Linked DNA regions of Daphnia pulex. The protein of the gene in region 1 binds, or shares a complex with, the protein of each later gene. Links are inferred from orthologs where the notes say so. Each region holds a gene or a part of one and is shown on either strand. Other genes may lie near its edges.

Region 1 (16,523 bases):
TTTTCCTTTCACAGAGTATCCCCTTTCATTCGGCAGTCTTCTTATATCCTACGTCGTCGTCTATTGAAGGGGTTTTTTCTTCTTCTTCCAGCAGTCGCCAATCCTCAGCACAGCACCACCAGCTGGATCGTCTCATCTTTCCGTGTATAAAGCCTCTTATTCTTCTTCCTTTTTTTCGTGTTTGTGTGTATTTCTCATTTTCCCGACGCTTATCTTTTTTTTTTTTAATAGTTTGGATTTGATAAACTATAATAGACGCCACAGTACATGTCCAGTGCAGCACTTTCTTATATGTGGCCCCGAAAATAACAGCCCATTACGTAAAATGCGATTCAAAAAATGTATATGACGTAAAGGAGAGCAGCAGCAGCAGCACGAGTTTGGACTTTTTATTATTATTATTTCTGCTCTCGGTGCTATGGCCGGGGGGGAATGTAATATCGTGCCGACAAAGATATAGGCCTATATGGACATATTACGTGTGCCACCCATTTCCCTTTATTCTTGTGTGTGTGCTGTGGGTAAGCCATACGTGACAGTTTGATGTATGTCTGAGTAAACGGAAGAAGAGGAGGTGGTTACATAGTCAAGACAGTCCCGGCGAATTCTCGAGATGGGGAGAAAACACGACTATAAAGTTGCTGGTTGTGGAATCATATAATAATAATAAGAAGAAATGATGATGTATTACTGTACTACTCCTTTTTTTCTTTCTGGGGTGGTCTATTGTGTATATGCTCCATCTTTCTTTTTTCCTTTGGCACATATCAGTCGGCCGATGGTTGTACAACAATTGAATCCCCTTTTTTGTATGGGCTCTATATACATATAGCCTATGATAGCTTCGGGGGCGATGTGGATCAAATTGATGACGGCCGGGAGGAGAGATCGAGTTTCCCGCAACAGCAGCAGCCAGCAGTGATGTATTGAACTGCTGTGCTGCGCGTTCTATTCTGGAACGGTCAACATCATGAAATCGCAGACAACTTTTCTTATCACGACTATATAGTATATACACCACAAAGTTAGTTAGTCCGAATAAATCTATCAATTCTTCATTAGATTTGTGATTAGAATTCTACTTTTGTTTGCGTCTTATATATAGAATAGAGATCTATACTACTACTCGGCATACGGTATGCTGTAATAATAACCGCTTGAAAATACCCCATCACATTCTTTCAGATTATTATTGGGGATGGATATATTTCTCACATCATATCCTATTATAGAGCAGCAGCAAAGGCATTCGTTATTAATATGTATTATACACCCGGGATTTATCTTTGCCGCTATATTACACAGCAGGGCGCCTTTTTTTAAAAAATAAAAAAAAAGGGAAATGTTGACGTCAATGTGGCAAATCATCAAAACGTATAGCGGAGTTTTAGCCGCCGCATATTCACAAGGAGTTTAGCATATTATGAATTTTTTTTTCTCGGGTCGGGAATATCGACCACAATGAATTTCACAGAGGGGGGGACACGGCGTGCGCAGATGCGCACATACACAACACAAGAGAGACGAGAGACGAAGAGAGAAACGAGCGGGACTGTATACATAAGCCGGCATTATAGACTAACATTCAAATGACAAAATGGTAATAAAAGCTGTATATGAAAACGTCGAGAAAGCCCCTGATCGCCGTCCTATACTACACGTGTGTGTGTAGATAGTCTATATAGCTCCTCCTCTCACTGAGCGTTTACAAATGTGGCAATGCACTGTCAAGAGAGAGAGAGAGCCAGAAGTGGATTTCAAAGAGAGGTGATATATTCTTGCATATAATCGCTTGATGGAGGGGACTTCCACTTTATATTTCTCGGCCAAAGTGTCTATACGTACTAACTCTCTAATGGCATACAAAATAAAAGTGACGGTGTTGTAGATATTGGGTGCTGTGAATGATATAACGGAGGGTGGCAGCGCACCGAGTATACTACTCCACGTACATTCCGCCCGACGGTATTTTTCGATGAAATATAAGAGCGCGAATATTTCTAGAGAAATCGATAAGAGGTTTTTCATTCGGCAGCTTTCAAAAAATGGAGTATAGTACTAGACGTATAGCTCTCATATCATTCCGCGGGATTGAGCGTGCAGCCTGGCATACAAATAGCAAACAAAATGACGAGGGATATCATATCTATATGTGTAGTACAAAGATTTTTCCCATATCCTTATGTGTACTATAGCTACTTCCACATCTTTTTCTTGATAGTACTACATCTGCGTAGAAAAGGAGTACATATTGTGTGCGAGCTATACAGTAGAAACGTATTGTGTGTACAACCAGGGTAGAAAAGAAAGTGGAAACATCATCGGAGATTACAAATCGTCCTGTATATTTTTTTATTTTGGTGGTTTGACTCGCCACCCCGAATCCATCCGAGAGAATATGGACGGGATGTGACGCGGCCCAGACATGCATCTGTATCTTAGTTTAGCTTCGCCGTGTACACATCAACGGGAGAGGCCATTCTCGCCAACATCACAGTTGCCACACCCTGGGCAAATATTGGATGATCACCCATCAACCGGGGGCGGCATCTCTTGCAGAGTGTGTTCCGATTATTCCTCACGGGCAAAACGGCCAGCACACAGAAGCCAAGAAAAGAAAAAGAAATGAAAAGTAAAGACCGTCAATGTCAAAAGCTGTTTGAAGCTATAGTGGACTCGGTGACTCCCTGGCATCAGGTTTTGTCACGCCATCATCAATTTCTTCTTCTTCTCTTTGCCTAGATGTTCAGTCGGGAGCGGCGGCTGGGCTGGGCTGAGCGTTGTGTGCAAGTGACACTCGGATTGAAATATATAAGAGACGGCCGAATGCTCATCGGTGACCGAGCGGGCGGACAAACCCTGTTTGTCACACTCCTTTTACCCACTCGATAGATATATGCTAATAAACCACTGCTGCTGCTGCTTTTTAGCCGTCGAGCCGCGTCGAGCCCTTGAAAGTTTGATGCCTCTATACGTCTGTGAGCTCTGTGGGCACTACTAATTGTCATAATCCGCTTTTGAACTTGCCGAGATCCAAGTTCGTCTGGTCCGGTAAATCATTTCCGTTGACCCTGTTGAACTATGTGATCATCTCCTTCTGACTCGGCCATTTACTGGAAATTTAATAATAGTCTCTACACCATTCGGGGAAATATGACGGGATTGAATAAATATAAGATCCTTGGAAGGAGTTCATTTACTAAGAGGATTCTGGACGTCAAATCTACAAAATGTCGTACGAAAGTGCTGCTTCTCGGTCGCCTTATTACTAATATCATCTCTCGGTGGAGTTTTTATTATTGTGAAGGGTTTTGATGCGATATAATAGAAGCCCAACTCTGTTGGAGAGTAGTATTGTCATGGCCGTTTCTTGTGTCAAAGAGATTGCCGCGGGCCAGTCAGGGGGTCCAACCCATTCAAAGAGAAAAAGGCTTGGTCCGCTTGGCCCTATATACACTTTTGATGAAATGAAGGTTCTCGCCCGGCTGCCTAATCTCCTGTTGCATGATGAGAAACAAAGCTGAGCTGTCCAGCAGCCATATACAACACCGGGAGTCGGTAGACTAGAAGAAGAAACGAATAATGCCAAGTTGTGTCGTCGTCGTCGACCAACTTGTGCTGACAAAAGACAAGAAATCGCCACACGCCACACACGCATCAGCCATTCACAAAGAATGTGCTCCATAGCTCTCTCTCTTTCTCTCTCTCCGCTCACGACGCCAGTCAGATATAATCCCGCACAGCAGAAGAAAGCGCGGAGTGCTGGATGGGCCTGTCAACGGTCGGCTCTCAACCGGAAATTGTGAGTCGATTAGAGACGAGCGTCGTTCAGCAGTCCGTGTGTCACCGTCCGACATTGAACTCGGGCTGATAAGAATTAAAAGAAAATGAAATTGACGCCAGTTCATTCCGACTTATTTGTCTTCTGATTTTTTTTTCTTTTGATTCAATTTATTTTAACTGACGACGACAACGACCGCAAAATCCAAATGGGGAAAAAAGAAGAAGCCATGGAAAATAGAAAAGAAGAGAGAGAGATAAAGAGAGACGGCACTTTTTTGTTTTGTGCCGAAACGGCACTTGATGAAGTTAAGCGGGACGAGAGAAGAAGGGCTTCGTGTGTTCAAGCTGAGTCATTTATTTCGAGTTGGGAGCGTGAGTCGAATTGAAACGCCATCACGGCGAAATCAGTTTGCCCCCCGCGCGCGCGCTGAGAAAGTCGCAATAATAACGTGAGTGGCGCACATTTGCGAGTCGTGACTTCTTCTCGGTACAACGTGTACGTCGTTGACTTTTCCAAAGGGGTCAGTCTCTCAACGACGACTCTGATGACGTCAAAAACTGCCGGGCACATTACTTCTTCAGGAAACCCAGGCTATAGCAGCTAGCAGCTAGCAGCTAGCAGCTAGCAGCCGGGGTTGTTTATACTATGCTGCATCAGCTCGTTCTTCTCATGCAATCCTGTTAGTCATCTCTTTTCCCCTGGAGGACGCTGTTGCTCTCCTTTCTAGCTGCAGAGAAAAGAGAAACTGTATGATGCAGCTGCAATGGTTCAACATTACGATATCCTCTTGTCAAATAATAAATAAGAAGACCAGCGCTACTGCTGCTGCTGCATATCGGCATCATATCATAGACAACACGGGACGGACGCATGCAGCCGCAGCCGCGTGGGATCGATGACAGTTAATGAAGTCATGTTATCTTGTGCGCCTTGAGATTCCAGCGCAACGCTCCAGCGGTCGGCATCCGGCCAAAAAGATGCGGTGGAAGGATGGGCGGTGGGCCATTGTCGATGACGAGCGAGCCCAGCATTTTCTCTTACGAAACTGCTGTCCTTCGAGTGTGGAGAAATCCAGTGTGCGCTGGGTCAAGGGGAATCATCCTTTATATACATTCTCTGAACTGCGACTCGACCATACAAAAGATGTACTAGGCTTTTGTCATTGTGAGGCTGCTGGATGGATATTTCTATGTTGTAGAAGCTTCACTTGTTTCACCCGCACAGTCTCGGAGGACACACCCAGTCGATACGGACGATGGCATATTTATGCCGACATTGTCAGTAGTCTCCACGAGAAGATGACAAGAGCCCAATGCCAAGACATTATAACGGTACACACTAAAATGTAGTTGACGAGGGACAAAGAAGATTTACTTCGTTAATTAATATTCCATTCCCAGCAGTCGAGATTAGGCAACAATTCGGATTGACTTTGAATGAGAGCATCAAGGCAGTGTATAGCGCGCTAGGCTTCCTTCAAAAACTGGAAATCTCGGCCGAAAATGAAGAAGAGACACTGCTTTGAATGATGACAATAAGGATCAGAGCCACCCCCCCCCCCCACCCAGAAAAAAAAGTTGGATAGGGATTCATCTTATCCGCCATTACATTTTTCATCGGCCCGTTCGACCCCATTTTTTCGGGTTCAATTAGAGAGGAGGCCCGTTGTGCTGCAGCTCTCATCACTTGACTGCACATGGCCGGCAATTCGATAACGAAGCGGAACGGCCCGAAACTGGGCACACACTGAGTGATATTCAATACGAATCTTGCTGGTACGGTACAGTCAAGTGAATTTGTATAGCCGGGCAAGTTGGGCGACCAGCAGCACGAACAATCATTGCCTCTTCTACACACAAGGCGCGGGATATATGTACGTCGTCGGTGCCGGCTCTGGCCCGAATCCGTTCAAGAGGAACGACAATTCATCCAAGGTAAACGAATTGACTGTGTTATAGAGTTAAACCCAGAATGTACGTCCGGTTGCAGTTGGTTTGGCCGGCGAAAAGAAGGAAGTAAACATCCGTGCTCTCCCGAAAAAAATTTGTCCGTCTTGAGTTTCTTGACCAAGTAGTGCCACTCGTGGGGTCTTGAGTGACCGTTGCGTTGGCGGGGCCATCAAGACTTTCATCTGATTTGACGCGAATTAACTTTAAGTCAACGAGAGAAAAGGGGCGCGTCACCGAGCGGGACACGAAAAGAAAAAAAAAAGAAATCGGAAGAAGAAAAAGAGGTTGAACTCGCAAGACTGTCGTCACCAACTTGATAGATATTATTGATTTTCTGTTTGAGGCTCGTCGCTAGTAGAGTAGTCGATCACATTTGTCCTTGGTACAGCATGCAGGGACGAAAGAGCGGGCGGCGTGAATGACGCCGCTCTCTCTCTAGGCTGTTGCGCTCCCGTTCCCAACTTTTTCCAATGGCAATTCGTTCCATGATGACTTGCAGGGCCGGCCGGCCGTCGATCCCTTTGGTATTTCAATTAAGCGCGAGTTGCCGGGTGCGGTTGCTGTGGCTGGATGCATTGCAATAAATAAATAAATAAATAAAAAACAAATCTATTTAATAACACACGCGTCAGACATCAATTCTTTCAACGCGCGAGGATGTATTCAATCAGCCGTCCATTGTGTCGGCCAATTCTATTCTCTTCTCTATGAAAATGATGGGCGCCCATCAGGCCAGGTCCCCCGGCTGGCGGAGGGGAGAAGAGACACTCGGATGGGACGAAGAAGTACCAATCAAGAGAGTAGGGAAATATATAAAAACGACAAGAGGGAAAGAAAGAAAGAAAGAAAGAAAGAAAGAAAAAGAAAACAACAATTATTAGAGACTGAAAGGGTCCAAATTTGTTGGCGAGAGTGAGGGTGGTGGCGCATCTTCGCGGGGGGTTCAGTGTTGTGTCTCCGCATCCGGCAGACGTCGGTCTCAATGGGAAGGCGGCGGACCTATCAAACCCCAGGTGGAGTTTCGATTTTCAATTCGTCACGCAATTCTGCGATATCTTGTTCCCAGCGTCGCTCGTAGAAGACGTTCATTAAGAAGCTGCTCCTCGAGCCCACGCCTATGGCCCACGGTAAGTACTTGCTCAGATAAGTCGACCGGTTCCTTGCACGAACATAATAATTGACAAAAGACGGGCAAAGAAAAACAAAAAAGAAGAAGAAGCTCATTAGTCCTGGGGAGGAGACAAAAGCGGCTCAGCGTGCTACACTCGACCGAACGAGAGACAACAACCGCACACGGGGGAGAGACGCAGAGAAAAGAAATTGAGAGGAGACCCAACGAAAAAAGGAAAACGAAAAAGAGGATGCTCTTATTACATCAGTTGACTCAATTCAAATTTATAAAAGGGCTTCCTATTGTTGTCACACAGCTGGATTTAATTAACTGGCTGGAAACGATCTGTCCACTTGTTAGTCTCTTTTGTTTGTTCTACCGTTTGCTGCCAATGTTGTCCTTTTTTCGTTGTTCTAGTGTGAAGGAAAAACGGAGGCAATGAATTGTCTATTTACTTTGGTTTCAAGCGAATAGGTCCAAACACAGCACCACCGATACACATGGGCAATTCCGTCTGAAGGGCTTCAACCCACTTGACTGCAACTTCGCCTATTAAAAAAAAGGAAATTTGCTTTTCAGGAGCATTTCCAAGGCAGCGCAATCTAAACTTGCCGGTCAATCGTGAATGCGACTATACCTAGCATGTTGGTGGGACATCCCAGCAAAGTGTGGACCAGGTCGTGGGTTTCGCGGTAGCGCTGCATCACGTAAGCCAAGTCGGCGTCGTCAACAAAGCGGACAGGCAATCTCGTATCCGGGCTGACGTTCTGTTGAATCAGCCCCATTTATCTAGTCAGATTTATGCTCACGAATTGCGAGACGGCTTTGTAACTTTGTGACTTACATTGACTTCGAGAAACTTGGTGTATTCTCTTCCTAAAGTTCCGTCTGGGTAAGATTTGAGCTTCTCAATGTCTATTGTGCTCGAGTTTATTCTAGGCCTCCCCCTGGTTGGCAATGATAATGAGAAATTAGAATCTTGATAACTAACTGTGGAAAGATTGCTTACATGAGAATTTGTCGGCCTTCTTCACTTTCCAGCATCTTTCTGTGCATCTTTTTGAGAGCAGAGTGGCCAGAACTTTCACCATTGACAGCGACCATGTCTAATTTCGGATCAACAAAAGGAAACTTATTTTCAGGCCTTTTGAGTTTTTTGAGCTCTCGTCACCTCCTCTTGCAGGATCTGTCAGCGCCACAATGCTAGAACCCACAGAAAGGACAGCTCTTTGAAGCAAATTTATGGGAATGTGCCCATCATACAAAGGTTCGCTTTTCTTTGTTGTTTCCGACTTCATCCATTTCACTTGGAAAATTCAATGTAGGGCAAACATCCAGTTAAATTATGTGCATAAGAGAGTTAAGGCAAATTTTAACTTACAAATGTAGGGAATTTGGGTCGTCGTTGTGTACTGTCGCTCGATGAAAGCATGAACAGCAACTCGATTATGACGAGTAATCAAACTCTTCAAAAACATTTTGTTCCTTAATAATCAGCAGCTGTGAATGTTCAATTTCTTCCTTCACCGAAAGTAGGTTCTCACGTAATCATCCATGAATAACAACACGGAAATAATTTAAAAAAAAAAGAAAACAAGTAAAACCACTTTTAACGAAACAACTTGACTTCGTCTGCTAAATAGCTTCAAAAATCGTTTTCGTCCGTGATCCATCTAGTGGTGAGTTGTTTTTCCGCCAGGGGCTTTTAGCCTTGGTTTTTTGGCGCCACATGCTAACTATCCACTCCAACGGTCGTTTGGTCGAATTGAAATAAAAGTTGCGCGGAATAAAGACAAGGGCGGTTTGTTTCTGCGATTGTCTCGTTTTATTCGAGACGTACTGTCTTAGTTTTCAAAAGTTTTGCCAACGTTTTTTTAAAGACTGATGTAATGCTATGCTGGTTTGAATTCTAGCCTACTGTCACACGCATTTGATTCATATGTTTTTATTTTTACTTCGTGGAAAAAGAGCAAGCAACGCAACCAGTGAGTCTAGCCGCGCGCAACTCGACAATCAATACTCTGTCGGGAGTCTCTTGAATTTGAACTGGACGTTCCTTAGTTCAGTCGTTCAGTTGGTCTCCTGAAGTCGAGGCTTTCCTAGACGCTCGTCTTGTTATTCGTTAGGTTTACCGACTTCTCAACACAGTGGGAAAAGTTATACACTAGTGTTTCTTAGTCAACATTTAGCTTCGCTGAGTCAAAACACAATCATCCTGACAAAATGACAGACATGGATAACAGCACATGCCTTGAATTGGCGTTAGAAGGAGAACGTCTTTGCAAAGCTGGTGATTGCAGGTAGAAACTTTCCATGTGCCAAGTTGTTTTGCCCTAGAGGAAATCAGCTTGTCGGTTGGAAAACTTATTGTGATTCATACGTAGTATCAAACACACTTGTCAGTAACTTTGTGTTTGCTTTCTCACAGAGCTGGTGTCGCCTTTTTCGAAGCAGCAATTCAAGCTGGTACCGATGACTTGAGGACCCTCAGCGCCATTTACTCACAACTTGGAAATGCATATTTTTACCTGGGTGAATACACCAAAGCCATGCAGTATCACAAACATGATCTTACTCTAGCCAGGTAATTGTTCACACACTATATTTGTTTGGTTCTAATTGTGGAAAAATTTAAATTTTATTTTCTAAACTGCCATATTTTACAGAACCATGGGTGACAGACTAGGTGAAGCCAAAGCCAGTGGAAATCTTGGAAACACATTGAAAGTAATGGGCAGATTCGATGAAGCTGTTCTCTGTTGCAAAAGACACCTCGACATTTCCAGGGAGCTTACCGATAAAGTACAGTTTTTTTTAGCTCCTAATATCGTTTTCGTCGCCTCTAATGTAAACATGGCTCCCACGCATTTCCAGGTTGGAGAAGGAAGGGCGTTGTATAACTTGGGGAACGTTTTTCATGCGAAAGGAAAACATCTCGGCCGGCTGGGTCAACAAGATCCAGGCGAGTTTCCCGAAGACGTGCGGAACTGCCTGCTAACAGCCGTAAATTATTACGAGTGAGTTTTTATTTTTTCCAAGAGGAAGTTGAGATTGGATTTTACTTACCCGTTCTGATTAACATTATCTTTTGGTTTTCGTCTTAATAGAGAAAATCTTGAACTCATGAGAGAAATAACCGATCGTGCTGCCCAAGGTCGGGCATGCGGGAACTTGGGCAATACCCATTATCTCTTGGGTAGCTTTACGCAAGCCATAAAATATCATCAAGAGGTGAGCGTTTTTGGCTATAAAAAATGTATATCTTATGATATCGTGTGTATGGGTTGTAAAAAAAACGAAGGTTTAATAGGGAAGGCTTAGGGAGATTAAAATCGATACAATCGGGACAAATTATTCGTGGTTTACGTGAGCGAAAAATCTTCTTTCATCGCCCACTTTCTTTTTTCAATTGTGCTTCTAGCGACTGAATATTGCTCGAGAATTTGGGGACAAAGCAGCCGAAAGGAGAGCCCACAGCAACCTGGGAAATGCGCACATCTTCCTCGGAGAGTTCGAAACGGCTGCAGAACATTACAAGTAAATACAGCGACTTCCTTTTTACTGATCGAAAGTTTCCGTAATTTGCGTATGAAAAGGACGGAATCGTCGAGCGTCTTTAAACTTTAAAGAAATCCCATTCAAATTCAATTTACCCCCCTCTCCCTCAGGAAAACACTCCTACTTGCACAGGATCTCGGAGATCGAGCCGTCGAAGCGCAAGCCTGTTACAGCCTGGGAAATACGTATACTCTGCTTCGCGATTATCCCACAGCCATCGATTACCATCTGCGGCACTTGCGTATTGCTGAAGAGCTAATGGATAAAGTTGGAGAAGGTTAGTCGGTGCTGAGAACTCGGTGCTCATTTTCTTTCGGGTTGTTTTTTGTTTGTTCTTTTAAATTTGGAAAATCTTTCTTCCCTGTGATCGCCATTAACATTGTTCCGGTTTGTTTCGTGACCGTCACCAATAGGACGTGCTTGCTGGAGCTTGGGGAATGCACACGCTGCCATGGGAAATCACGAGAAAGCCCTGCACTACGCACAACGGCACCTTGAAATATCCCGCGAGGTGAGCCAACACGAACCAATCAACCGACCTACTAATGGACTAATGGTTATGGCGTAAAATGACCGTTACCCTCTTTTCTCCATCTCTAAGATTGGCGATCCGACCGGCGAGGCGACAGCACAGATGAACTTGGCCGACTTGAGACGCACATTGGGCGTTGACGGCGACGGTGGTTGCGGCGGCATGGGAAACTCAACGAAAGGTCACGCTTCCGAGGCCGACGACGACGGACTCTACGGAGCAGATAGCAAGGCAAGGCGCAGGTTAAGCATGGAGCGCATGGATTTGCTCAAGGTTTGTTTGTGTTCGTCCGCTTTTGTCGCTTTGTTATTATTCTTGGCTTCTATTTTCTCGCATACCGCACCCTCGCGTTCAAACTTGGGAAGGTGGGAAATCTACCGGAGACCTTCCAAAACTTCTATTTTTTCTCTTGGCAAAATCTGCAGCATGGCGATTTTATTATTATTTTTATTACCGTCATCATTGTTTTCGTTGGTCCGTTTCAATTTCGGTTGCTTGCACTGTGATTAATCCAGCTGACGCCGGATGTGAAACAACTTCATAGCAAGGGACGCCGGGAACTGCATGAAATGGATCCTGTGTGGCCTAGACCGCTCGCTGGTCACCCGTTGGTTAGACGTGATATGCTGCCCCCGTTTGTAAGTTTCAACAATCCTCTCTTGATCCGGCTCTATCGGATGGCTCGTTCGTCTGTCTGCTTCTTTCGCTGCCAGTCTATCACAACTGTCACATCTCATAGTCTCGCTTGTTGTTTTTGTCTCTCTATTTCTGTCCGTTACTACCCTGTTGCTAACCGGAATCCATTTCGTTTTGCAATACGATAGGCCAACGGAGACGACGCCATGGATGAAGAGGAATCCTTTTTTAATTTGGTCACTCAATTCCAATCGAAACGCATGGACGATCAGCGTTGCTCGTTGGCAATCGTAGACAACAAGGAGAACCAACAAGCAAGTACACTCCCGTCGAATATTCACGGTGAGTTGTTTTTCCAGGGAAACCAGGGAGGGGGGATACGCGCTCCTGGCGTCGCCCCGAGTTTTGTTTCGTTTGCCTGCTTCTACGAGGGAGTGTGTTTTTATTTTCCTCTTTTTTCGCATATTGTTTCGATAGAGAGCCCGTCGAGATTGAAGGAAGATTTAATGGACCTGATCGCCGGCATGCAGAGTCGCCGGATGGATGAGCAGAGAGCTTCACTACCGCGACTACCCGGCCTGAACAACGCCAATCCAGACATTTTACGTCGGCTGTCTGTGGAGCCAGCCGGCGAGGATGCAGCCGCATTGCCCGATGAGAATTTCTTCGAAATGTTGATGCGGTGTCAGGTTAGATATTCTTCCACCTTTTTGGCCGAATTTGTACTCGTTTCTTTTTCACGAACGACTTTTTAAAATGATTTTTTACTTTTTATTTTTTTCATCGTGTAGGGTACGAGGCTGGAAGATCAGCGCAGCGCCTTGCCGGATACATCGCCTCGGCGGCACAGGGGGCCCACCATGCCCGACGAAGACTTTTTCTCGTTGATAATGCGACTCCAATCGGGTCGACTCGAGGATCAAAGAGCCGAAGATCCTTCACCTCTCATCGCTGCCAACGGAGCTGCCGCCACTTCCTCCTAGACGGAACGGTATCCCTAACCTCTCGGAATGTTTTACCCCTCCTCGCCATCAGCTCTCATCCATGATCGAAATGTATGTTGACAGTCTCTATCAATACCCTCTCTCCATTTTTATTCGTTTCAAAAAATAGCCATTCCCTTTTTCTTTTACTTTTGACCGAGTTTTTTTTTCCAAAAAAACTCTTCCAACTTCACATCCATTTCATTCGCTCTCTGCCTCCTCCTGGAAGTAGAAATCGCGAAAATTAAATCTCACCATTCCTCCTTTGGGGAACAAACAAGGGGAAGGGGGGGTTGATTGTCCGTTCCCGCATGGTTGCACACGAGTTCAAAGGAGTCCCTTTTTTTTTCCGAACATGGCAGTTCTTGTCTTCTCTTTCTATTCCGTTGGCAGAGCATTGTTCCTACTCCCAACGTGAAAGGCAGTTAGAAGACAATAAATAGGCCTATTCCTCGTTTTATTTATTTTTGTCCCCATCTTTTTTTTTTCTTTCTTGGATCTGCAGTGGAAAGTCATCATTGTTGTCGTGAAAACGAAATTGTTTGTCATGGAAGTTTTTAGAGATGAGATTAAGTTGGCGACAGTGTGAGCAAGAAGGGGAAAAAAACAAAATTCGATTTCTCGTTATCTTTTCACTTTGGTGCTTGGTGGGCTCCTTTCCTTCGGGATATTTTCGTTTTATTATTGTAGCGAAATGAAAATGTTTCTTTTTTTGTCGAGGACTGACGTGAAAGAGATGTAAATGCAGATGCCTATGGGGGTGGGGGGTAAACGAGTCGTGTTTTTGTTTCCTCCCAACATAAAAAGCGAGGGCCAAAAGGGGATTGGAACGAGAGCACTTTGTTCTATTTTTCACGCGAGTAAAATGAATCCTGTTTGATATTCAACATCTTCCATACGCGTGCGCAAACTTTTATTATTTTCTTGGGTCTGTCTTGTTGCACGGCACCGATTCTGTTCCCTCCCAAACTTCCAAGGCCCACCCCTCCTCCTTTATTGAAATGTTCAACTTGAATTCTTGTTGCCCATTTCTTTTTTGTTGTGTTGATACAACATTTAGACGTGCCGCCATGTGTAATCCAAACCAGCTGCGTCGTTCTCAGTCCAACTTCTCTTTCTTCCTCCTCTTCTGTATTTCTCTCGCCCCAATTGTCTTGATTCCAACTGTTGGGTCCAGGTGGGCATTTTACGAGAAGAACATAAAGATAAAAGTTACAAAAAAATAATAATAATAATATTCCCTAAATGGACGTGTATGTCAGTGTGTGTATCGCGCCGATTTTAGGTCTTACCTCCCTCTCCGCCTCGTTGCTTTTCTTATACACACCTCTCTTAGGCTACACATCTTGCCCGGAACAAACTCCTCCAGTCTTTTTTAGGTTGAACGGCTCTTGTCTTGTATGTGCAACAGTTTCTGTTTTCACGATAAAATGAAACTGCCGTGGCGACTGCACCAATCCTTCCCCCAACGTTCTTTCCATCTCCTCCGTGTGCCCCCCCCCACTTGTAAAACGTACATGTTTTCTTATTTTTCTTTTTTTTTTCGTTGCTGTCAACGATGATGTACAAATTATGATGGAGCTCAAAATTGGGTTTGACTTTCATTTCAGTCCTCATAACCATTAGTAGATTGGTACGGCGTCCGACACAAAGAGAAATGATGGCGTGACATTCTCAAGTTCCTTGACGACTCGACAGTCGACGACTGCGGTGACTTGGTGCGTCGTAAAGAAAATGGCGTGTAATTTCTCCACGAGTCGCTGGGCTGTTTGTTAACGATCCAAGACGAGATGAATTATTGCAGTCTGGGCGTTGGTCGAAGGCGGAACGAGCCCCCGATGGGTTGCCGACGTCATCCGCGCGCTTCCGTCACGTCCCAGTCGCTTAGACCTTGTACAATTTTGGTCGTCCCTCTTGATTTTATTTGACAAATCGCCTTACGATTCAAAAGACGAGCTGGATGTTCCGTATAATGCCGGATAGGAGGGGTATCAAGATACCGATACAGCGCAGATGGGTATCCGGTTTTCTGTCTTTTCTTTTTGCACACGTCGCCCGGTTCTATTAAAAAACTTTTTTCTTTTTTTTTTCCGAATCCGATTGAAGCGAGTCGACGACTAGAGCAAACAAACAAAATAAACAGAAAGCGATTGCGTGATTCTTTTTACATTTCCCTCTTTTTATCCTTGTAAAATTCTCCATGATTCGATGGCAGAATCATGTCCGTCGCTTCGGTTCGCAAAGTTCACTAGATCTACTTGCTTTTCCTTTCTCTCTCTCTCCGTTTTATTTGTTTCCTTTCTCAAATACTGTCTGACTGAATGTAGCAGTCTCGGTCTGGTTCCTCAGGTTCTCCCCCCGCCACTTTGTTGTCGTGTTTCTTTCGACATCGACCTTTTATTTTATTTTTATATATCTCTCGGACTGCTGCGGGAGTCATCGGCAAGGAGAGTCCGCCTTATTTGGCGCATCTTTACGTGATTGCCATCGATCTCGGAACTTTTCACGGACCCTCACCCCCGGCCTTCCTAATATTCTTTTTTGCTTTGCTTTGGCGTTTATTTGGTTTTTCCATTTCGTTCACACTCGACTTGAAACGTCGAACCTGGTGTAGTGCGTAGTCGTATTCTGCTTTTCTTTGATTTGTTGGACCATTTTTCTTTTTCTGGGGGGGATAGCTGACCGTGGCGATATTGGACATCGTTTTTCTTTGATTTGATTTGATTTACTTCTTCTTCCTTACGTATTCTTCCCTCAATTCTTGGAATCCAATCCATTCTACACCCCCCTCGGGTTGGTCCATTTTTCTTTTCTTCTCTCCCTGTTTGCTTTTCTTAGAGACATAAGACTTATTGGACAGAAAAAAAATGGATCTCACCGATTCTGTTTTAATGTGACGCACTTGGGTCAAGTTTAGACTCTGAGACGTAGTCGAGGCCGTGCCGGAGATGGGCACCGTTCGTGATCGATCCACCCCTTTCACTCTTTTGACTCCTGAATGTTGTATATATATACACTCCTATACCTTACCATACTCTCTCCGTTCTTTATCTTCCAGGTATACGTATATGTTCTTGTGTGTCTGCGTATCTTCTTTTGAGAAAGGATCTTTTTTATTTCCTTTTATTTCTCCATTAATTTTGTTTATAGTGTCCACCGGCTTCTTCTTTTTTTCCTTCCTTCCTCGTTTTATCTCGTCTTATTCCACGTCCTAGCCCTTCGCCGGATTTGTTGCACTTTCGTTAGTGCACTTTGTTGATTTCCAAGATTACTTCGACTTGCCTTCCCGTTTGGCTTCTCTCTCCTTTTCTTTTTCTTCTTCTTCTTCTTTATCCTGCGAGCTTTGTTATTGTTCATCTTGACTAGGGATCGGATCCCTTTAGGTCTCAATTTGTAATCACGTGAGGTAATCGAGAATTTGGGCAGCCAATGAGTTAATGAGGGATAAATTCTGTCTCCCGAGCAACGAGTTGCCGGCCAGTCTCATTATTATTTCCCAGGCGAGACACACGGGGGGGACGAGTCAATCCTCCATCCTGTTGCGACCCTCATCGCTGCGCTGGCAGTATCAGGTAGCGCCGTGTCCTGGTTGCCTCGTGCCCCGGCCAGCAGGTCTTAATGAGAGTCAATTCAGTCAACGAGAAGGAGAGAAGGAGGCGAAGTCAAGCGAGGAAACCATAATGGAATGTCTTATATATAGCCTGCGCTCGGCGAACTTGGCGAATTAGTCGATCCTGTATTCTAATTGAAATCGTTAACCGGGCGAGTGTGGAAGCCAAGGAGTCTTGAGAGAGCCGAGTTAACCGTCGGTCCACTGCCCGGCCATGGAGTCTACCCAACTCGAGCATACAGATAGTAATCAATAACAAATCAGCAATATCGTCGGCATCCTTTCCATAATGCAAACTCATCGAGTCGAAAATTCTGGGAGACTCTAGGGAGCTATCCTAATATCCCATATGGGTGCCGG
Region 2 (15,862 bases), on another chromosome or scaffold:
TCGTTGAAGAGGAGGACGAAGAACACGACGAGCACACAAAAATTGAAGAATTGCACAAACGCCGCAGCTACCTGTCTAGCTTCTGCAAACTGGTCGTTTACAACGTCCTGCCCATAAAAACTGCGGCAGATGTTTTCCGACACTACGTGAAGTATTACAATGATTACGGTGACATCATTAAAACGACGTTGGGAAAAGCCCGAGAAATCAACAAAGTTAGCTGTGCCAGGACTATGGTTCTAAGTCTCTCCATGCTCTTTCGCGATTTAAGTAGAGATGCCGGAAGTCGTATTGATCGACAATCAGAAGAGTTTTTGAGCGTCAAGGTATAAAATTTATCTATCCATTTAAATCTTATTGATAGTAAACTCACGCGAATACTAAACAAAATTATTTTGTACGTAGGAATTGGCCAAACGATTTGCCCTTTCTTTCGGATTGGACGCGTTAAAAAATCGCGAAGCTATCACCGCCCTGCATAGAGATGCCATTCTTTTTGCCACCAACCCACTCGAGAATCCCAACGATCCAACTGGCCCTCCACCTAATTTGGCTTTTCTAGAAATCGGCGCCGAGTTTACGAACAAATTGCTGAAACAAGACAAAAGAATGGTTTTACAGTTTCTGGACCGGATTCTGACAATGGGAATGCCTTCATCTCGCGGCGAAGAATGGCAACCTCTCTTGTTGTACCGCAATTCCTTGGTCCATGGCGAAACTGATCTACCTCCGCAGACGGCTCGGCGTGCGTACGGAAGGCGTCGACGCGATGCAGGTATGACTAGAATCTTTTTTAAACAAAATACGATTAGAAACTTTAGTTTGCGCTTAATTTTAAATGGAAGAGGAGACAACGCCTTTGTTTGGTTTACAACCTTTTTTTTTTTGTCTACCTAATGTTTCGATGTAACGGTAAAAAATCAAGTGTGAAATGCACCCAAACTTTTGCCTCCGTTCGATCATGCACGACTTGTCGGTTCGTCGTGTCTGCAATTCTCGATTGAATTGGCGTTATCTGACACAATTACTTATGTTCACCGCACTATTCTTATACTTGCGTTATTCCATTCTGAAGTTCAATTTCCCTTCTTGGCGTCAATGTGGGACAACTCCTTTTATCACTTGATTGCCATCACTGTAAACCGAATAGCGGCACCTAGTTTTTTTTAATATAGCGGGAATCCGGGATCGAATATGACGGATCTATTTGTTTCGTTGTTGACCGTTATCAACCGCGTGCAATTCAATGAGCGCCTCGATATTGACGCGAGTTCAATTTTATTTGTAGGCGGGGACGACGGTGAAATCGCTGATGATAACGACGATGCCGGATCAGATCAAGATTTTGCTGGGTAATACGTATTTCCTTTGGTTTGCTTTTGTATAAATGTTTACACTTCATTGATTTTGCAGTTATTAATCTCTCGCTATTCGGAAAAAGTAATGTTGCCGTTTCGTCAAGACGTTCTCCAACTTGATTGCATTTCCCTTTTGTCAGCAAGTCTTCTATGATTGCTTTTATTTCCCCCGTTTTTATGTCTTCTTTTAAAATAAATAGAAAAGTAACAACAATAATAAAAAAAAAGAAATCGCGCTTTCGTTTCTCCGACTTCTATTTTGCGACTATAAAAACGCTTATAAAAAACATGCTACAATCATCGCAATAAAGGTTGCGATATTCCTTAAACACACGAATAGTTTGAGATTATTAGCTCAAAATTTTGAGATCGAAAAATGAGTTCCCTGCTTTCATTCTGCTATCCCCCAAAGTGATTTATCAAATATTAAGTAGGCTCGAACCGTACAGAAAATAATGTCTTCTCTTAAAATAGGCCGCAACATCCTAAAACACAATATATGTGTCAGCCTTAGCTTGACCGACTTATTTCCTACCATTGGGCAACCAATGATTTAGCTGATCTGTCAAAAAAATTCTTTCTCCAACTTAACTTGATCGTTTTTTTTTTCTTGCCACCGACTCTGCGGCGACACCATTCACCCTAGCCTATTAGATATGCAATACAATCAGCTAGTTGTGATTTTGTTTGAATCGGCTGAAAATATTTCGAAGATGCACCTGGCAAAGAGAGAATTTCACACTCTGCCACAGACATGGCTTTGCTATGTAGGTCGAGGAGGAATTCTAGCTGGTCGAGGAAGAGCAACAGTGCGGCACGAGTAAATAGAATTAAGTAGGTCATAGCACTTTAATAGAAAGAGTCGCAGCAACTTAACGTGAAGACGGGACGAATGAAACGCTGGATCATCAAGGTGTACAAGTTAATCTTAGTTGCTTAGTTCGGTTCTCTTGACTTATTTTGAGTTGAAGCTGACTTGACAATTGAAGCTACCTCAGCAGACAATTTTGAACACACTTCCTATACAGTTATATCAATATTATTTTTTTGACTAACATTCTTGTAACGAAATGACACACTATTAGCGTGCATGCCTAAATTTCATAGCGTGAACAGATACACACGCTTGTGTGATCCGTTCACACGTAAATATTAGTAAGAATTTGTTTCGACAGAAATGCAGAAATTTTTCTTTTTCATTGATAAAACATTGTTTTTGTCAAATTAAATTAAGCGATAGTTCTGGCGAAAAATAAGCCTTATTCTATTAACATTTAATAACACTTCCTATGCAAATTTCTAGCAAAATCAAAGAAACTGCTTACGGTATTATATTCTTCTATTTTCTTCATTTCAGTGAAAATTTTTGTTCTTATGAAACACACCCTTGGACGACAACGTTATTAAAAATAGGCAGAACAGCTAATTAACAAATTAAACTTTTCTTTTTTTCTTCCCCCTTTTATTCTTTTTTAAATGGCAAGCGATCGCAAGCGATACAATGAGCCTGTGCCGAAAACGAATTAACTTGGTTCCTAAAAGAAGAATTGATCTTTAGTTGGTAAGAAATCAAAATAAAGAAAGTCTTGACTTTTTCTTCGTAAAAATACGCGATCTGCACTGAAATACAATTTAGCCTGTGGGGCCGGTCCCCGTGTGTCGGGCTGCCGGCACGGTATAGAGCCAAACATAAAGTAGGAAGGGCGAGTAGCGAGGAATAGCTTTAGGCATTAAATGCTAGACGGTGGCCTATATATAAAGAAAGGATTCGTATCACCTGTGTTTCAGTCGGTAGCAAGGATCACACTCTGTTTGAGGGCTTCAGAGTGTGCGCGTGTGAATCTTCCAGTTTTTGTTTTCTAATCATCCAACGTAAAAAATTCTGGTTTCTGAACTTGTTTGCCGTATAATTCGTCGCCCTGAGTGATCTAGAGGTAACAAGAAAAAGTGAAGTCTAACCTTTTTATGAGGACAGCCAGTCCGAGCAAGTTTTTGACATGAAATGATTGTGTAACTTTATGTACCTATGTTGAGTTGGAATTATTATTTTCGAAATTTTTCTAGTTGATTGCTAACTGATCAAAAAAGAATGAGTGCCTTTCTGAAGAATGTCGTCGACGGCTACAATGATTTGATGATCAACAAACGAGGTAAGGAATCATCCGTTAGTTTATCAGCTGATACTCCCCGCTTGCGACATCATTGTTTAGTTGTTAGGGGCCGATAAGTGTAGAAATACTTTTTAGCGCATGTACGAAAATAGAATGTTGCATTATTTTATCCTCCTCATCGTGTCTCGAAGAATTTGCGGAATGGAAACCCCTATACCGTAATGGTGAACAGTTGTGATACTCCTAGTCCATTGACCTCATTCGTCGATGACGGTCTGTGGTTAAGTCTCTCAGAGTATAGTGACCCCATTCGTATGACCGCTACTTTAACGGAACACGGCCAAATCTCTTCGAAGAGAAAACGTTGGTAAAGAATCCGTCTATCTTTCACGTGAGAATTCTTCAGTTGGCTTTCCCCAGAATTCTGTACTGCTTATGTTTAATGACCAGTGGCTAATTCATGCATTTTCTAGAAAAGTGAACACCAGTCGATGCATTTATTAGAAGAAAACATTAACTAAAATTACCGTAATTTCCTTTTTCTTCAAGATCCTAGGGTCGACGGATGGTTCTTAATGAGTTCACCTGTCCCAACCCTGATCATCTGCTCTTGCTACATCTATTTCGTCAAATCCTTGGGACCGAGGCTAATGCGCGATCGGAAACCCTTCGAGCTCCGTTCCGCCATCATCATTTATAATGTCATTCAAGTTCTCGCCAGTATTTACTTGGTGTACAAGGTATGAAAATCTTTATAACCTTTGACCATTTCCTTACTGGGCGACAATTTCATTTGATTTTACTTCCTTTTTTTCTCTTTTTCTGTCATTTCGACTCTTCCGCTAATTCAGGGTCTGGTTCACGCCTGGCTGTTCCGCTACAGCCTCCGCTGCCAACCGGTCGACTATTCCGACGACCCCGACGAGTTGATTGTTGCCCAAATGTGTTGGTGGTATTACTTTTGCAAATTCACCGAGTTTCTGGATACGGTTTTCTTCGTCCTGCGGAAAAAGTTTGATCAAATCACCAACCTCCACGTCATTCACCATAGCATCATGCCGGCAGCCGTTTGGTGGGGTGTCAAGTTCACCCCCGGTGGCCACGCCACATTCTTTGGAATGCTGAACACTTTCGTTCACATTATCATGTACACTTACTACCTATTAGCCGCAATGGGACCAAAGTATCAGAAATATTTGTGGTGGAAGAAGCATCTGACCACGATGCAAATGGTTCAGTTCATCACGGTCTTTTTTCACACGGCTCAACTTTTCTTCATTGAGTGCAACTTCCCCAAGATTCTTGCATATATCATGTGCTTTAACTCAATCATGTTTTTAAGCCTTTTTTCGAACTTCTACATCCAGGTACTGTCAAATGAAAACTTAAGCTTTTTAAAATTATCTGCAGCACGGCAGAAATTCATGTTTCTACTCAAAGAAATCTTTAGAATTGAATGCTAATGTGATAACGATTGTTTTCTATTGCACAGGCTTACATCAAACGCCGCAGGCTGCCAGCTATTAAAAAGGACGATGACCATGATGACACCGCAAAGAACGGAGTGAACCTTCGCAACGGGAAATCTAATGACAAAATCGCCAACGGAAAAGGCAACGCCAAAGCTGAAAAGGAAAGCCGTGGCGTCGGAAAGATGATCACCAACATCATGTCCAACGCATCCGCCGCATGCTACATTGGTCAAAATGGTCTTTACCAATCCAACGGCAAAGCGAAAGGAGCTGAATCTTGCAAAAGTAAAGGGTATTCCAATGGCCATTCTATAGCCGAGAAGAAAAAATTTTAAGTTCTGCAGCTCAGTTCCAACTTGCCAAATCGAAATTGTCAAGTAACACCTCCTCTAACGTTTGCTTCGTTGTTTTCAAATTCTTACTCTTTTATATATTGATCTTATGGGCCATTTTTGGTTATCAGATATTAAATGCTCTTGCATTTTGTTACAACATTAAGGAAACAAAAAAAAGGCAAAAACACACGCTAAAAGTTTTGGAAACGGAAGTGTATATATGCCGAAGAACAGTTTTATTCAATGCATACGTGGTTAAAATGTTGTTGACGTCGGCTCAATACAAGGAGATTTGATATTCCAAGTTATATTTCTATTTTTCCATAACTGATGCCGAGCTACCGGAATCACCATATGTTCAATATTATTATACCCTATGCTGAATCATCGCGTAACGGAACATGAGCGACGAAGACACGGAACCGTCCAGAATGAAAGCCGCACAAAAGGGGGTCAGTATGATTCTAGGTCACCAATACACTTTCTGGTGGGTTTTCGAATTCTTTTGTTCGGAAAATACGTTCCCTAGCACTCAAGTGTCATCACTGCAAATACCGTGGAGGTGTATAGAAAGTATATGGAGTCGCAAGAGCTATTTTCTCTTTAATTTCGAGAAAACGTTTCCGACACGGGGAGTTTTTCATGTTGCTTGTATCATTCTTTTGGGGAAATCCAAGAAACATAATAGAAAATCCAAACATTTTCCCCGTTAGAATTTTCGGCTACTTGACGGTTGACACAGTCGGGTTGTAAACATATTTCATCATTTAGTTTTCCCTCCCGGAGAAAAGATGACGAATCGCGTGAAGATTGAAGTATTGTAGCCTAAGCAGTTATTCATAGTTCAGTCATTTAGTTTCAGTTATTTCCTTTGTATGAGACAGACAATAGTTAGTGTTTTGTTCTCCATGTACGTACATGTCCTCTACCAAGAGACTCTCGGTGGCCTCGTTACTAGATTTTTAAGATATTTAATTTTAATTTTTAAACAAAACGAAACAAAACCCAAAAATGGCGTCGCTGTACAACAAAACGGTTAGCCAGTCTATTATTACGTAATCAAACTAAATGTATTACGTATATCACATGGACATCGTATTTTAACGTCGCGACAGACTATACATCAGGGAATACAAGTAGCCTACGTTAGATTCTTTCTGATATCCAGATGGCTCCTTTGCAACCAATTTTCACGGCTTGGGCGAACACCTGATATAGGGGAGCCTCTTCGGCCTTGTGCAGGATGGCCGTGTCATGATGCTCCATTTCTTCGTCGCGGAATTTGCTTATGACTTTCAGTAATTCACCGTTTTCTTCTGGGTTGGTCATGAGCTCGCGAATTTGGTCATTATAGTGGTCGGTAATGACCGTCTCCACAGCTGCTGTGCATGCCATGGCCATTTTCGGCCCCAACAAGGCAGAACCTGACGACAAAACGGGTTTGAGTTGCTGAAATAACAATTAGCTATAAAACAAGACAAGTACCAGCTCCTAAAGCAAAACCTGCCACATTCCAAATGGGTAACATCACAGTAGGTCTGGCACGGTACTTTGGAAGAAGTTCATCAAACTTTTTCCTGTGTTCCTTCTCCTGATCCCACATGTGCTGGATCACACTTCCTACATTGGATTTCCCTATACAAAAAAAAATCATTCATCCTTCTTATATTCATATATCCATTAGGGCAAATACCAAGAACAGCCATTTGGCCAGCGTAAATTCGATCGGCACCAACTTCACCAGCATGGTCAACTCGTAAAAATCTGTCTCGTGTAATATTTTCCCTTGCTTCCTTAGGTGATATTTTGGTTGATGTAGCAAATTGGCGGAACAGCTGAGGGATCTTCTGTGGTCTATAAGTCATTCTAGTATTTCAAATTTAAAAAATAGATCTAGAACATTTTTTGCATTTTACATTTCGTGTTTAAGTTTACCAAATTTTGCCGGAATTACATCATAACAAGGGGTTAGAAACATATTAATAACTAATGCCTTAAATGATCCCCTTTGGCCCGTTCGGTAGAGAATAGCGAAAAAACATTAAAACACCAACAGCGACTTCAAGTACAGGTAAAATAGGTTGTGAAAGTAAAGCACACAGCTACTCACATTCCAGATGGTTATGCAAGAACGAAAACACAGATTTTGTCAACAAACTGAGCTCACAGCTGTCAGCTATCGACTGCTTGCTATGCTTGAGGGCGGAACGATCGCCGTGTTTATAGCTTGTCGGATGTTTTTTTTTAAACAATATTTAATAACAGAATCAATCGATGGAGCTTTACAATCCAATTTTAAGTATCCATAGCACTCTTATGGTAAAATTAGTGATTTATAAGATTTTTGCGTTCCAATTAAGGGGGAAGGGAGAGGTACAGGTCGTTAGCTATCTCCACCTAGCGCTGAATACTTTAAGCAGTTATCCTGGCGGGGATTGTCAACATCATTCCAAATCCTAAGCAGTCTTTTGTTTTGTTTACCGTTATATTCGTTAATCCTGTTCAACTGTTCCTATCCTGTAAAATCAGTAAAACATTTCGTCCACTTTATTTTATTTTCGCTTACTTTTTCTATCCGCTCTGTAGCCGCTTCTTTTCTACAGTCGACGTAGTCAGGGCTCGAGCTCGAGGCGTCGAACTAGTTAAAGGGCAACACTGCTTCCCACTTTCCCAGTTCTCACGGAACTTTGTCTGCAATTCTGTTTTTCAGTTAGTTTTTGGATGAAGGTTTTTGTGAATGCGTCTTTGTTAATTGTTACTTTGTTAGGCTTCCGCGTTTAAGGCGTTACAGGCCGGATATAGAATCCATACGATCTGTGTGGTAACTAACAGCACAGATGGTGAGGCTACCATCCCATCTCATCACTGTGCAAATAAGTTTAAGCATGGTGTAAGTGGTTTCAATCATCAATCTTTCAGTGATTTCACGCAAAAGTTTGCTTTTGTTTCTTGATCTGCGTTGCATTAGCTTTTTTGTAACCTATTTTAAATCAGTCAATTCAAAGAAAAATTGGAACAGCCCATGTGCCCAGATCACATTGGTTCAGGAAGTCGTAGATTGTTTCGCCTGCGTTGGATTTTTAAATCTCCTCTAAGAATAATTAGTGCTAGAGCAAGATTTTGTTGTGTGTGGTTATTATTAGGTCAAAATCATCCCACCACTTACTGCAATGCAACAGCAGCGATTCTTGGCTTTTCATGCTCAGTGTGACTGTTGGTGGTGATGTAGAACAAGAACTTAATGAACTGAACTCAAAAGTTTAGTGACAGCAACACCTATCTATGTGAACTGCCAGATGCAATGTTTGCCTATTGTAAGAAGAATTCAAATCTGCAGTCTATATGGGGATTGGCGTGGACTACATTCCCATTTCCCACATCAGGCAACAAAATGCCAAAGAAAAGCCAGTGAGAATAACGTCAGTGTTGGTGTAAAAAAGTGCGAAATAGACGAAAAAAACCCAGTTTTTTCTTGCGTTTTTAAGGTTTTTAATGGAGAAGATAGTTAAGACTGATAACTTTCAATCCTTTCATTCAACATCTTCTACAGCCAATCTCTTTCAACATGAACATCAAGATTATTGAGTAAGGCTTTAGCAACTTTTGCTGTTTGTTTCTTTGTTTTGTTTTGTTTTTCATTTTGTTTTTCATTTGAAAAGGCTAATAATTTGTTATATTTAGGTAACAACAATTGCTATCTTGAACTCAACAAAGAAGTTGCTAGAGAGGAATTTCAAACCATAGTCAAAGTTGAAAAAGAAGAAGTTGACTGCTCAACGCAATAAAAAAAAGAATGACAAAATCGAAGGTGTGATCGCCATCATATTTGAGAAAATGGTACGTAAACTGATCAACAATTTATCTAAGCTGATCATGATTTTTCAATGAATAAAGGTATTTTCCTGGTGACCAACTGAACAGTTCCTCAAGTTGCGAGTCTTGCGCTAGATGTTTGATGTCGCTGCCACGCTTCGTCGAACTGGATTGTTGGGATCGTCCAATTCTTTTAATCTACCACGAATTACTCAGTATGACTTACGTCGACGATCAGTTAAATTTTCGTTGGGAAGACGATAAACAATACGCTTTATCTTACCTGGTCATTTTGTCCATTGAAAACCACTGTTCACTCTGCAAATGGAAATCGTTGATATTTTAAGATGTGTTTGGCGCCAACGTTCTAATAATTGTTATAATAATTCCACAAGTAAGTTTCAAAAAATTTCGACAACCCTTTTTCTTATCTTCCGTCGCTCATGGGGAAAAAAATTGGTTTCACCCAATCGTAGGACAGATAGAAGCGGTCGCGTTCTTTGCAAAGTTTTAAAATCCGGTGCATTTTTTGCGATAATCATAGACCATTTACTATCCTTTTTAGGTTGGAAGGTTCCTACGCAACGGTCGAAATTCTTGTGAAATGTCCTCTTCCTACGAGACCAAAACCGAAAAGCTAATTACTCTACTAGAGTCCCACTTCTTTCTTTCGTATCCTCAGGTATTTTTAAGAATCAATCAACTTTTTTCATTCAACTTCATTCAAAATGTTTAGTCATCAGATTTGAGATGTGGACAGTGGACCCTATTTGAAGAACAAATTGCTCAACACTCCTGTCACTCACATCCTCAGCTTTATCTGTGTCATCCTCCCACATCTTTGACAAAAATTCCAACTTTTTTGCCCAAAAGTTGTGGGTCAGGCCTATTGGCCCATGAGGTCAGGGGGCCAGATCTCTAAGCTCTGTGAGAAATCATAACAAACGTGTTGTGTTGGGTTTTACAAGAGCTCCTAGTCAATCCGGTTGAACAAATTTAGTTTCACCCGGAAACTTCTTTTGGTTTTTCCATGAAATTTATGGTAACAAATGCTACCTATCAAAAATTAAATTTTAATTCCTCATTTTTATGCTATCCTGAAAATGGATAGATTTGGAACTCGATGAAGTGCTGTCGAGTTTGGACCTTGGATCGTTCTTTCGGCTGAAGAAGATCTCGATTTTCTCGGACGGCCCGGCACAATAGCTCGCGTATCTCGTCCAGAAGCAACTCGCCTATTCACTCCCGCCATTTGGTGATCCAGCGAGGAAACCTTCACTCAGCCGAATTTTCCAATGTCGCACCAATGGAGATCGTGTGCACCATTCGACATCGGAATCCACTGCTCCCAAGTCAATCTACTGGACAGTGTTCTGGTAATCGGCAAAGCATTCATTTCTCCAATTGAGTGATTATTTGAAATTGTCGCGAATTTATTTGTTATTTTTGGTTCATTTTCTACTCTTCGTATTATTAGGGAGCGCCTATAAGCCGCATAATTCACATTTCCGACTTAAGCGTCAGACAGTTGGCGTATTGGCCCAACCGAAGCCAATGTAGCCAACGGCATGAGCGCAAGTAACAATGGTTCCATGGCCGCTGTAGAAAGTCTGGTGCTTCCACGGCCAGTTTTAGTGTTGGTAAAGGTACGCTACCGAATTGCATTGTTTTTATTTATGTTATATATCTCCCCCTTTTGTTAAATCTTCGTCGTAATTATTAAAACATTTCATCCAGGATTTTCCATCTCTCATACCGTCGGTATATTACAGAAGTAGTCAACGGTCGAGTACAACATTGTACAATAGAATACCGTTCGGTACAAACTGCTGCCAGTCAAGCAGGGGGAGACACTGTTGTCTGTTAAAGTGAGTTTTTAAATTGAACCTGAAGAAAAGAAGAATGCAGGTCATCTATCATCTGTATCCTACATTTACGATATTCTGCTTAGTTGATTTAATTCTATGTAGTTTTAATAATTCCTCAATTTCTAAGAAACTGTTCTTCTATTAGCAGTTGTAAACTAAGTGAATTTAGACTGAGACAAATTCAAAATATCCAACTAAAATTCCCTGCATAGACGTGGTGTATGTTTTATTCTAAAGTTTATACTAATTCCTTTTATTTCTCCTTCAGGTCTGATCTGAACTATGGAAAATATTCTGTCCAGGGAATGACGCCTTAAAAGAAAGAACTGCGGTTGCGATCTTCAACAATCTTGCGTGAGTCATTTTTTTTCTGCTTGTTATTATTTGTGTTTCTAATTTTAGTAATTTTAGTAAGTCTCGATTAGCTAGAGCAGGGATCCTTTTCATTTTACTGTTTTAAATTTTAAACATTTCTTGTTTACAACGCTAGATGGCATTACGATTGCTTAGATTGTTTTCAGCGTTCTAAAAACATTAGTTTCACTGTTTCAGTAACTTTTACTATACACAATTATTTTTTGTTTGCAAAACTGAAAAAAAAATCATCGATGAATTCTTCGTCAACGTCAATTTTGTTATGTCAAAAAACAGTGCAGGAAGAATTCATCCCGTTAACGCTATTTCGTGTGCCCTGACACCCAGGATACGAATTACTTATAATCTAAAATTGAGCGAAGATGGTGGACGAGAGTAGCAACCCAGAAGCTGCTCACCTCTAGAAGGCGTTGAGCGAAGATGAAATCAAAGTAAATTGCAGTTGGTTCCGTGTCCTCCACTGCAAAATCAGTCGCTCTGCTCAGAGCCTGATTGAAGTGATTGACGAACGATTGACGTTTGGTAAATTGGTCCACCCATATGGCAATCATGAAATTGTGAAGTTCCCTTGATGGATTTAGCCGTAATAATTTTTTTTAAATTGTTATTGTTGTGGCTGAGAGCCTGAGACACTGAAGATGACATCTGGTGGCCAGGTTTGTCTTCAGTTGTTGGGCGTAGGCTAGCCCTTTAGCCCCTACCTTCTTGGTTCTTTGTTAAGTTCAGGGTTTCTGAGAGAAAGAGTCGCCATTTTTAATTGTTTGGGGTTTTGATGTTAGCTTATTAATTAGCTTGATTGCTACTTGTTAGGCATTTTTTAGAATTTGTGATGGGTTGTAGTTGGTTCGGTTTGGCGCTTCGTGAGCTTGCTATTATTCTTGGTATAATTGATTCGATTAAATTCTATTCATGTGCAATGAAAGTGGCCTGAAAGTGTTTAATTTCATTTTTTATTTGTAGACGAATTTTGATGCTGAAAGACTTGGAAACCATGCTGTCCACCACGTCGAGAAACTGAGTAACATTCTGTGTGTTCAATGGTAAAATTAACAATTAAACTGATTGATATACATTTGAATCATAACAGTTGTAATGTTTGATTGCAGGCTCCTCTTAATAAAAGGAACTGGAGCCATCCAATCTAGGGCTTCCACCCAATCATAGGCTGCATGGAAGTCACATTTACCTTTGCTTTGACGAACATCCTGAACACATACACCATTTGAAGGTGACAATCTTATTATCCAGTTTAGATTTTACAATTAAAATATGATTAAGCTTTGCATTCATTGGTTAGTTTTAACATTTAGGGATTTCGTCAAGTCAACAGCTATTTCCTTCAGTCATGTGTTCTGTTATGGATTTTTTAAAGGGGAGTTTGTTGTAAGCAAGAAAGGCAGATACTGAAAGAGGTTTTGTTTATTTGTTTCACTTTAGAGTATTCTTTAAAGTTTAAATTAATTTTGTATTTAAATCTTACATGAGTCATCTAGTTTCATGTAAATTTGAGTTTCAACGATAGGTGTAAGTTAATATTGCCATATAATATTTGGGTTGAATATTTGAAGTGATACAATGTAGCATATTTTTTTTTTAATTTCAAAGCATTTCCAATGATGCTGAAGATTTATTTTACTTTGGTTATAGGTTCATGTTTACATAGCAGTGGTGTTGCTGTCCAATGTGGCGTGCAGCCTATGGTGGTGAAAGATATCTGCATCAAGTTGCTGTTTCTTGTGCATCCAAGGTGCTGGTTTTGTGCTACAGAAGTTACATCCAGTATTGTGTTTTATTGCTAATTGTTTCTTTGCAGTTTACCTTTTATATATTGAGAAGGAACAAAAAAAAATAATACGGGGAGGTTTATGTCAAACAAATAATAAACATGTCCGCGATTGGGGAATGAGGAGGAAGTTGGGGTGGGATATTTGATTATCATTTACTAAAAGAAGTTGGGTATATTTTATTATTTTTTTAATGAATATGCAGGTGATAAAATCTGTTGTTAACCCATATAACCTTCTCCACTTACACATCCATTCCTCAAACCCCGACATCAAATCCCACATCCATTCCTCAAACCCCGACATCAAATCCCACATCCATTCCTCAACCCCTACAATCTCCAACATTCAATTGCCACGATTTTTTTATAGCTATAATCATATTCATATATAAATAAATAAAATGTCATTGGATATAACTTGTATCAACTATATTTATTCTGGAACACGAACAAAATAAACAATTCATTAAACAGAGCGTCCGGTTCAAGACAGTTTTTTTTGTGCGAGGCTTTTTAGCAAGCAATCTGCCACCCAATTTGACAAAAAGTGGTAGTTTGTTTTCAAGGAAATTGCGTCAGACGGTTAAAAAATTTCTAGTTCAATAATCTCATGTAGAAATTTGCATCTAGTCTACTGGTGCAAATTGTGATTCTTTAAGCTTGATTAATTTAGGTGATGTGTTAAAAGCAATTGTGGGTAGCTAAAAAATTGATCTAACTTTTTCTGAATATTTTTGTTTTAGATCACTTTGTTGTTTTTAGATTTTCTTGAGATCTATCTTCAAAATATTCTGAAAAAGCGAATTAGTTTAATTTTTAAGCTACCCAGTACCCACAATTGCTTTTAACACATCACATAAATTAATAAAGCTTAAAGAATCGCAAAGTGCACCAGTAGACTAGATGCAAATTTCTACATGAGATTGTTGAACTAGAAATTTTTTAACCGCCTGACGCAATTTCCATGAAAACAAACTATCACTTTTTTGTCAAATTGGGTGGCGGATTGCTTGCTAAAACTCGCACATGCAGTGTCGGCGTAGATCCAGGGAGATTACCTGGAAATGGAAGAGGAGAGAAGAATGCGAGGCAAGTTTTACTGGGGAGCGATTAGTCACTACTAGGCTTCCGGGTTAGACTCATGACCCTCTAAAAGTTTTCGTCGGATCATGCGCCTTCCAAGTCCCCGTTCGACCAGAGCCCTCCCCTCCTCCTGGTTTCACAGCGGGTGAGTGACCACCGGCGGGCGTTGGTTAGTGGTTAGTTAGGGAAACGGGGCCACAGAAAAGAAGGGAGCCCAGATATGCACTTTTAATTTATCTACATCAACATAATTTTCTTGAATTTCAGCGTTTTCTCGTCAGTTTCACCATCCCAATGGGTCAGTCTATGGAATGGCGGCAACAGATTCACCTAAAAGGAGAAAGTAGGATTTGATCAATAACAAGAACAAGCATGATGCTATTATGAGGCGTAGAGAAACAAGTCAACAAAAAATAATGGAGAGCACTTCGAAAATATTGAATCAAATCAGCAAATCAAGAATATGCACTAATTGTTGTCTTATGCCATATCCTGTAGTTCAGTAAAAATTCAGGAAATTAATTCAGGATTAATTCAGGAAAAAGCCGAATTTCACATTCGACTGTTAGTTCTTTTGGGCGTCTAATAAGTACTTAATGAAGTACTAACTCCTTTAAAATCCGAAGTAGGCAAGCAAATTACCAAAGTCTAACAAGTGAGCTTTGTGGCTTACGGTCAGTTATCACACAAAATTATCTAACGTTAACTGCCGATAAATGTCTTTAGAATTGCGTAAAGTAAAAGTAACTGAAACAGTGAAACTGTTTTTTTTTCTGACTGATGAAAAACGATCTAAGCCATCGTCTAGCCTTGTAAACAAGAGATGTTTAAAATTTTAAACAGCAAAATGAAAAGGATCCCTGCTCTAGCTAAATCGAGACTTATACTAAAATAAGAAAAAATCATACCAAACAAAAACAGGTAATAATAAACCTACTCACGCAATACTGCTACATTAGCACAGCCACAGTTCTTTCTTTTTAAGGTGTTATACTTATTCTCTGTAATTCCAAAATTCTGATCATGATCAAAAGAATAAGTAAAAGGAATTATATAAACTTTACTGTAGGGCCTACAACTTACAGTAAAACTTACACAACGAATATGAAGAGATTTCCAGTTGGAAATTTTGCATTTGTTTCAATCATAATTCTCTTTCTTTGCAATTGAAGAACAGCCTGGATCATGCTATTTTCCATTCACAAGGATCTCACTGCTGTTTAAAAATATCAGACATCAAAAGAATTGATAAGTGTGAGATTGCAAGTCAAGGTAATAAAAAATACAAACTGTTAGATCAACTAAGCAGAATACCTATAATGTTGGTTTCACACTTAATCTGCTTTACCACATTTTGCTACTTAACCAACTGTTTGAAATGTTTAATAGTTCACTTGATACTCATCGAAACGTGAAAGACAGTAACCATGCAGTAACTAACCGTGCACTAATCATATCGCAGTCATTGTTGTTATTAAACTGCAGTGGCACCTGGTGGGGGATTTCATCTAGAATAAATCCTAGAAACAGGATGCATCTAGAATTTGAAAAAAATAAGTTGATGGTATGGCTATAAACATAAAAAAACTGGGTCGAGATAAACCTACATGACATGCAAAGCTCAATTTCATACTTGAAATCACGAAATAAAGGCAACCAGT

Evidence for each region.
Region 2: ubiquinone biosynthesis protein COQ4 homolog, mitochondrial-like (region 1) and 5-demethoxyubiquinone hydroxylase, mitochondrial-like share a complex: the UniProt entries of both Homo sapiens proteins name them as parts of the multi-subunit COQ enzyme complex. The link is inferred for Daphnia pulex from reciprocal best matches to the Homo sapiens genes COQ4 and COQ7.

Annotation. Positions count from the first base shown.
Region 1 is NC_060018.1:4,004,400-4,020,922, forward strand, and holds ubiquinone biosynthesis protein COQ4 homolog, mitochondrial-like, read right to left. Parts: upstream 8,521-16,523; 5' UTR 8,323-8,520; coding exon 8,226-8,322; intron 8,151-8,225; coding exon 8,016-8,150; intron 7,951-8,015; coding exon 7,854-7,950; intron 7,792-7,853; coding exon 7,689-7,791; intron 7,612-7,688; coding exon 7,482-7,611; intron 7,394-7,481; coding exon 7,300-7,393; intron 6,893-7,299; coding exon 6,736-6,892; 3' UTR 6,348-6,735; downstream 1-6,347. Other genes in the region: G-protein-signaling modulator 2-like, read left to right, coding at 9,068-9,144, 9,273-9,428, 9,511-9,646, 9,719-9,861, 9,952-10,075, 10,266-10,381, 10,513-10,679, 10,816-10,913 and 5 more. UniProt on the Homo sapiens protein: Lyase that catalyzes the C1-decarboxylation of 4-hydroxy-3-methoxy-5-(all-trans-decaprenyl)benzoic acid into 2-methoxy-6-(all-trans-decaprenyl)phenol during ubiquinone biosynthesis.
Region 2 is NC_060017.1:4,138,711-4,154,572, reverse strand, and holds 5-demethoxyubiquinone hydroxylase, mitochondrial-like, read right to left. Parts: upstream 7,483-15,862; 5' UTR 7,387-7,482; exon of another isoform or gene 7,212-7,386; intron 7,143-7,211; 5' UTR 7,142-7,142; coding exon 6,970-7,141; intron 6,912-6,969; coding exon 6,762-6,911; intron 6,701-6,761; coding exon 6,423-6,700; 3' UTR 6,328-6,422; downstream 1-6,327. Other genes in the region: cohesin subunit SA-1-like, read left to right, coding at 1-326, 406-775, 1,289-1,352, 1,414-1,420; elongation of very long chain fatty acids protein-like, read left to right, coding at 3,448-3,508, 4,019-4,209, 4,321-4,836, 4,962-5,276. UniProt on the Homo sapiens protein: Catalyzes the hydroxylation of the 5-methoxy-2-methyl-3-(all-trans-polyprenyl)benzoquinone at the C6 position and participates in the biosynthesis of ubiquinone.